Macaca mulatta: one gene and its partner. The protein of the gene in region 2 purifies or fractionates together with the protein of the main gene of each other region. This does not show direct contact. Links are inferred from orthologs where the notes say so. Each region holds a gene or a part of one and is shown on either strand. Other genes may lie near its edges.

Region 1 (4,213 bases), on a different chromosome or scaffold from region 2:
CTTGCTAATCATTGGTCACTACAAATTTGAGTAAATCAATCACTATTTTCCTCATTTCCATTTAAAGAACAAAGCTCACAGATGACAGGATGCTGTAAGGAACTAAGTCTATATACTGCAAAATACGAAACATGCTAAACATCAGCACTTTTTAAAACTGAAAACACATCTTTTGAACTAAAGCCTTTTATCTGACTCTGGGGGAAGTGGCAGCAGTGGGAAATGGTATGAAATGATGAGGCTACCTAATTTCTAGTTCAGTAAAAAGGTAAACTACCAATTGCTTACATGCCTCAGTGATTTTAATAACCCCTCATATCATTTTAGTACTCTGTAGTTTTCAAGGTACTTTCATCTATGAGCTCATGAGGTCTTATAAAAATCCTATGATCTCCAAAGATACATGAATGGTCAATAAGCACATGAAAAGATGCTCAACATCATTAGTCATTTTGGAAATTAAAATCAAAACCACAATGGGCCAGGTGAAGTGGCTCACACCTGTAATCCCAGCACTTTGGGAGGCCAAGACGGGCAGATTACTTGAGGTCAGCAGTTCAAGACCAGCCTGGCCAATATAGCAAAACCCCATCTCTACTAAAAATACAAAAATTAGCCAGGCATGGTGGCGGGCACCTGTAATCCCAGCAACTTAGGAGGCTGAGGCAGGAGAATCACTTGAACCCGGGAGGCAGAGGTTGCAGTGAGCCAAGATCACGCCACTGCAGCCTGGGAGACAGAGCAAGACTCAGTCTCGGGGGGAAAAAAAAAGCCACAATGAGATACCACTTTATACCCACTAAAATGTCTTTAATCAAAAAATAAATAAATAACGAATGGCAGGGATGTGAAGAAACTGGAATCCTTATACATTGCTGATGGAAATGTAAAATGGTGCAGCCACTTGGAAAGTTTGTCAAATAGTTTGCAGTTTCTCACAATGTTCACCATAGTTACCATATGATCCAGCAATTCTACTCCTAGGTATATAACCAAGAGAAATGAAGTCATAAGTCCACATAAAAACTTGCACAAGAATGTTCATAGCAGCATTAGTTAGAAGAGCCAAAAAGTAGAAACATCAGCTTATAAACAGACAATCAAAATATGGCATACCCATATAATGCAATATTATTCAGCAATAAAAGAAATGAAGATCAGATACATGCTACAACATGGATGAATCTTGAAAACATTATATTACATGAAACATGGCAGACACAAAAAAACCCACTTATTTATGATTTCATTTATATGCAACAGAATAGGCAAATTCCATCTGCCACTCTGGAGTAGGCAAATTCCATCTGCCACTCTGGAATAGTCAAATTCCATTTGCCATTCTAGAACAGGCGAATTTAGAGGGAAAGACTCTCTAGGGCTGGGACAGTCATGGAGAAATAGGCAATGAGTGCTAATGGGCAGAGGTTTCTTTTTGGGGTGATGAAAATGATCTAAAATTGATTGTGGTGATGGTTGTGCAGCTTCTGTGAACGTGCTAAAAAACACTGAACTGTCCCCTTTAAATAGGTAAACTGGGGCCGGACACAGTGGCTCATGCCTGTAATCCCAGCACTTTGGGAGGCTGAGTCTGGTGGATTGCTTGAGCCCAGGAGTTCAAGACCAGCCTGGGCAACATAGAAAGACTTCATCTGTGTAAGTAAATAACGTAAAATAAATAAGTAAATAGTATGGCATGTTAGTTTTATCTCTAGTTTTATCTAGTTTTACCTAGAAAAAAACTAGGGGGGAATCTGTATACACACAAATGCAAATACAAATAGTTATGTTGAATACTCATATTTTTACCTCGATGTAATCTACTTAATTAAATGTAATCTAGCTTTAAAAATCTTATGAAGGAGTAAAATTAGTTTTTCATTTCTAATTGACAAAAGACAGAATAATTTAAGTCTGAAAAGGGTTTATTAACTTGTCAATAGACGCAAGAGTAGAAAAGGTGGAGCTGAAGCCGGAATACGTTTTCTGACTCCCCTCTTCAGTTTGGCCAGTACCCCAATTATGTAACATTTTGAAACCCCGCCATGAAGAAATAAAATATTGGAAGATAGGAAGCAAATACTGATGTTTATGTGTTTGCAAAGGAACGTGTTGGGAAAATTCAAATTTACGTAATCACTTATTGAGCCCTTATGCAGCAGCATTTATAATTTCTCATCATGTTTCCACTTTTAAACTAAAATTTTCTTCAACCCTACAGAGTGAAGGGTATCTAGTCTCTGGAAAGTCCCAGCCAACACTGAAGCAAAATAATTCCAAATAAAGAACTTTTCCAGACCCTTTGGCTATAACAAAAACTTTCAGAAACTTAATATTTCTTCCTCATGAAACTGTGGTCAACAACCAAAAAGATGACAGAACGTGACTTCAATCATTCAAGTTCTCAACGAGGCACACTCCCCACTGTCGCTTCTATCTCGTTCCCAGAGACCCAAGGGAAAATGTCACAAAATGGCACAGAAATGCAGGATCCAGAAAAGGGTCAGAAAGAGCGAGGGCAGTAGGGCGGGAGACAGAATGCCTGGCACCGGCCTGCGCCCAGGTTAAGTGCTTAAGAAGGGTGAGGGTCATGCACGGTGCAGGAGCCCCAGGTGACCAAGGAGCGGTGCCCCCGGGCGCCCAGAGGCCAAAGAGGAAAGAAGAGATAGTGGGCACCCTCAACGGGCGTGGTGAAGCCGGGCCGCACTCACGAAACGCTGGTAGAAGCGGACTAGCCGCGGCTTTCCATGGTTGTTGAAAACCAGAATCGCCTGAATCATCTTTGCCGGCCACGGTTCTCTCAGCACCGGCTACTCCCAGAAATCGCCTCCTTCCGCCACAACACGGCCACTTCCGGTTGGTGCGCTGCTGAGAGCGGCACTCGGAAACTTGGCCCCGGCACCCAGGAGCCCTAGCACCCAAGGGTCCGGCCTCTTTGACGCCCTGGAGAAGGCGGCGGGGTCCCCTGCGGACTGCAGGTGCGGTTGCCCAGAAGCGTGGTCACCTCGACCAGCGTCGGTTGGCCGGTCAGGATGCGAATCCGGATCTATGTCCCTCGCCAAGACCGACAGCTGGCCCCAGAAGCCGAAACTTGACCACCAGCCGGGTTGCCAACACAGAGAGGCGGCGCGAGCTTGCCTTTCTCACCGTCCGCTCCAAAACCTGTACTCCCGCCTTCCCCTTAGCGCTCGCAGAACGTTCCGCGGAGTGGAGACGCCGGTCGTTCGGCCGTTCCTCGGTTAAGGAACGTTTCGTTCATTTTTATTTTTCAGTATTACAATGCTGCAGTGAATTACGTAGCTGTCTCTCCGTGCATATGGGCTGTTCCTCCATGGTAGACGGTGAATGGTGGAATTAAAGAATTTTTAGTGCATTTCCTTTAAAATCCCAAATCAATCAAGTTCTTATTTTTGTTTGTTCTTTTAATGACCCAGTGTGGGTAAGGTGGAGCACGTTCGTATACTGCAGATGGAGCAGCGGATACAGCTGCAAATCGATCCAGAGGACTTTTTGGCAATATGGATCAGAAGCCTTTAAAATATGTAACAGTCCAGGCCCGGGGGCTCACGCCTGTAATCCCAGCATTTTGGGAGGCTGAGGCGGGTGGCTCACTTGAGGTCAGCAGTTCGAGACCAGCCTGGCCAACATGGTGAAACCCCGCCTCTACTAAATTACAAAAATTAGCCGGGTGTGGTGGCGCGCGACTGTAGTCCCAGATATTTGGGACTCAGATACCCAGATACATAGTCCCGGGACTGAGGCAGGAGAATGGCTTGAACCTGGAAGGCGGAGGTTGCAGTGAGCCGAGATTGCATCACTGCACTCCAGCCTGGGCGACAGAGCGAGACTCTGTCTCCAAAAACAAAACTCTCTCTCTCTCTCTCTCTCTATATATATATATGTATTTATTTAACATTAGACTCAGCGTTTCCAGCTCTGGAATTTATAATAAAATGATTGTGGATGTGTGAAAAGATTTAGCCTCAGGAACATACATTTCTGCCAGAGTATCTTTAGAACAGTAAAAAAAAAAAAAAAAAAAAAGAAGAAAAAAATATATATCGCAGCAGTGTTATTACAGGGGAAAACGGGAAAAAAATTATTACAAAAATGAGAAATTGGTTAAGTGCATTGTTCTACATGAATATGAGAAATATTAAATAGCTAATAAAAATCATGCTGGGAAAGATTTATGATACAGAAGTGTTCATGA
Region 2 (3,649 bases):
CATTTTGGTATATTTCTTTAAACATTTCCACCACCAGAAGGTTGCATTTTTTTCTATTGTAATAATTTTTGGTTTTTAATTGCACTTTAAAATACAGTCGCAATCATACTGTATCTATAATTTTGCAGTCTACTTATGATTGGTGTTCCTACCTGCAACCTACAATCATGTTATCTTCCTGCTCAAAAACCTTCAATGGTTGATCACTGACTTTATGATAAAAGCTAAATATTTAGCCTAGCTTTGAAGGACTTTCTCTACTTTTTAATCTGATCTCTAACTTCTCAACTGAAAAACAGTTCTGCTTCTGCATTAATAAAACTTTAGGTTTTTCTCTTTCATGTGTGTTTTTTTCTCATACAGTTCCACCTATGGAGAATGCTCTTACTCCTCCCTCACTTCCTGAATTCTACTGATTCTCCAAGGTGGCCGCCCACCACAGTTCAGGAGGGAATACTTCATTAATGGAACCATTCTCTTGAACTTTGTAATATACTGCCTTATGAATCTGTTATGTTTTGCATTCTATATTTTAGTAACTTTTCTCTGACTATAAAATACATGTTTATTTTGGAAAATTAAAAAGTATAAAACAAAAATAAAGATAATCTGTATTTCTTTAGCTGGGTATAATCATTGTAAATATTTAGAACTTTTTGGTCTGAGTGAATATTTATATATAAGAATAATTTTTTCAGTTTTGTGCTGACTTTTCAATTTAACATTATATCATGTGTATTTTCCAATGCTATTACATTATCTGTGAAGTATGGAATTGCTTTTTAAAGTCTTATACAGTTATTTACTTATTTTAATTTTTTTTCCAACGTCCCATTCAGAGTATAAGTTTTAGGAGCACAGACATGCCATCTTATCTTTCTTTGAATTTCTCTCAACATTCACCCTTACACAGAGGATGAATAAAGAGCTGCTGAATGATCTTTTTCTTACAGGCCTCTCTCACCTCATTTTTAGGTCAAGGCACTGGAGAGGGGTTTACAGTGGTGGACAGTGGAGTTGGAGTGGCATATAACATTTCATAGGAATCTTTCTCTAAAAGACTTTAAAGCTTTCGAAAGAACATTGGCATCTGGGTGTGCCTAATTTCTAGCTACACTCAAGAATTAAACCCAACTGGAAGCTTACAATATAAGTACAGGCCCACAATGCATGCGATCTCATGAGTAAACTATTTTTCTATTTTTTCTTAATACATCTTCTGCATGCATAAAAACAAAGACTCGGAGGATATTGTAGTACTGTGTGGTTAAGAGTCTTAAATTTTCTATTCTCTAGTAATTGTGGAGTAGCAGCATACCAGTTATGTTATTTTAAACATTAAAATGCCAGTCTGTAAATGGACTAAATTCTCTTCTAAGTGGGCTCATATACTGGCTTCTTTAGGACTAACTGGAACAATTTATTCAGTCTTAGTATTTAGTGTTAAATAATGGTAATAATATTGTTGTGGTATTTTAGAAAAAAAAAAAGAGTAATAACCAAAAGTTCTTTATCACTTAAGGTCTAGCCTTTTTCTATGAAAATAAATATACAATACATCCATTTTAACTTTACCAGTAACTTTAATTATGGCTGAATTGTACTACCTTAATAATACATCAGATCATGAACAATAATGAGTTGTTTACAAAGTTTTAATTGCTCAGTTACCAGTAAAGTATGTTTTCATCTTACCTGTAATAGAGTTGACAACAGACCGTAGAATTGTTGGCGGTTTAATTAATTCTTTCAAAATGTTAGATTCGGTAGCCAGTGGAAATCCATTGTCTAACATTTCTTCTAAGAGTTCATATACTATGACCACATTATCCTTAATCGCAGCCTCTGAACACTCACCAAAGTAGTCCTGACAAAATACACAATATCACACAATGGAAGGCACAAAGAAAGGCTTGCTAAATACTTTTTGTTCTGAAGAACAAACTTACAATAGCATTATTCATTGCTTAAGATGCTGAACATATGTAAAACAGAGCCAGGGAAAAAACCCTCCATAGGCCGGGCACGGTGGCTTATGCCTGCAATCCCAGCAATTTGGGAGGCTGAGGCGGGTGGATCACTTGAGGTCAGGAGTTCAAGACCAGCCTGGCCAACATGGTGAAACCCTGTCTCTACTAAAAATACAAAAATTAGCTGAGTGTGATGGTGCACACCTGTGGTCCCAGCTACTTGGGAGGCTGAGGAGGGAGGATTGCTTGAACCCGGGAGGCGGAGGTTGCGGTGAGCCAAGAGCACGCCACTGCACTCCAGCCTAGGCGACAGAGTGAGACTCTGTCTCAAACAAAAAAAAACAAGCAAACAAAAAAACCCCTCTATAGTCCTAACATTATTCCTCAGTATTTTCTTGATATTTCTAGCCTGAATTTAATTCCTATTACACATTATACTAGAAAGTATTGAGACATTAAATTGGAATTTGAGCTATAAACTTCATTCACCCTGATTAACTATTCCAACATACACATAGATAAGCTTAAATTGTTTGGTATATTCAGCAAGACAAGAGAAAAAAATAAAACGTAAATACAGAAGAGTTCATAACCAATGAAAATCTTGAGACCATTGAGAGAACTGTATGTGGAGGGCATTATTGTTTCCTGATGATATGCAGTCATCCCTTGGTAGTTGTGGGGAATTAGTTCCAGGATCCCCTGTGGATACCAAAACTCACAATTCTCAAGTCCCTGACATAAAATGGCATAGTATTTGCACATCACTTATACACATCGCCCTATATACTTTAAATCACCTCTAGATTACTTGTAATATCTAACACAATGTAAATGCTATGTAACTATTTGTTATACTGCATTGTTTAAGTAATAATGAGGAGAAGAAGTTTGTACATGTTCAGTTCAATTTTTTTGTTCAAATATTTGCCATGTAAGGTTCGGTGAATTCATGGATGCAGAACCCATGTATATGGAGAGCCAACTGTAATTTGTAATACATATAAAAAATAGTAAATACAGCAGCCATGTGTGCAACTGTACACCACATAGAAAAGGATTTATGAATTTATGCTTAAACAGAGAGAAACAGACAGTAAACATCAAAACCTGGGTAATTAAATAATATAATCATGTCTCACCTCCAGCTAACTTGGGTCATTTAAGTTAGAAAGGTATGATAGATAACCAACCTGAAAAGTGTCAGCAACTCGATGTAGGAACTCAATTACAAAGAGAGGTGGCACTTCAGTCTGTATGACAGATACAAAGAAGAGCTTATCCCGGTAGATACTGATGAGGTAGTGGTGAGGTGTTGAAATGACAGGTGGTACATTTTCAACATCAGCAGCTTTCTCTTGAGCTTCAAAGAAATAATCACAGACAGACTGGCTCACAACGCTCTTCCAGTGCTTCTCTAGAAATATGTCACCGGAACAGTTTATGAGAAATAGACTGTGGATCATTTTCTGTTGGGGCAAAGATAGGTTTAAATTTATTATACATTAAATATCATTTAACATATACAAAAAGATTATACACTTTGACCAAGTGGGACTTATTCCAAGAATGCAAAAATCAATCAATATGATATACAACTAGAACTAAAACAATCATTTCAAAAGGTGCAGAAATTGCATTTGACAAAATCCAACATCATTTTACAAAAAAAAAAAAAA

What was found. The genes of interacting proteins can lie anywhere in the genome.
Region 1: the proteins of AP3M1 (region 2) and AP3S2 purify together in Homo sapiens (co-immunoprecipitation; 3 studies listed by BioGRID and IntAct, counting the BioPlex papers as one, with this or other methods). This does not show direct contact. The link is inferred for Macaca mulatta from reciprocal best matches to the Homo sapiens genes AP3M1 and AP3S2.

Annotation. Positions count from the first base shown.
Region 1 is NC_133412.1:79,707,233-79,711,445, forward strand, and holds the start of AP3S2 (AP-3 complex subunit sigma-2), read right to left. Parts: upstream 2,828-4,213; 5' UTR 2,781-2,827; coding exon 2,712-2,780; exon of another isoform or gene 1,785-2,711; intron 1-1,784. UniProt on the Homo sapiens protein: Part of the AP-3 complex, an adaptor-related complex which is not clathrin-associated. The complex is associated with the Golgi region as well as more peripheral structures.
Region 2 is NC_133414.1:75,486,887-75,490,535, reverse strand, and holds part of AP3M1 (AP-3 complex subunit mu-1), read right to left. Parts: intron 3,440-3,649; coding exon 3,164-3,439; intron 1,868-3,163; coding exon 1,696-1,867; intron 1-1,695. UniProt on the Homo sapiens protein: Part of the AP-3 complex, an adaptor-related complex which is not clathrin-associated. The complex is associated with the Golgi region as well as more peripheral structures.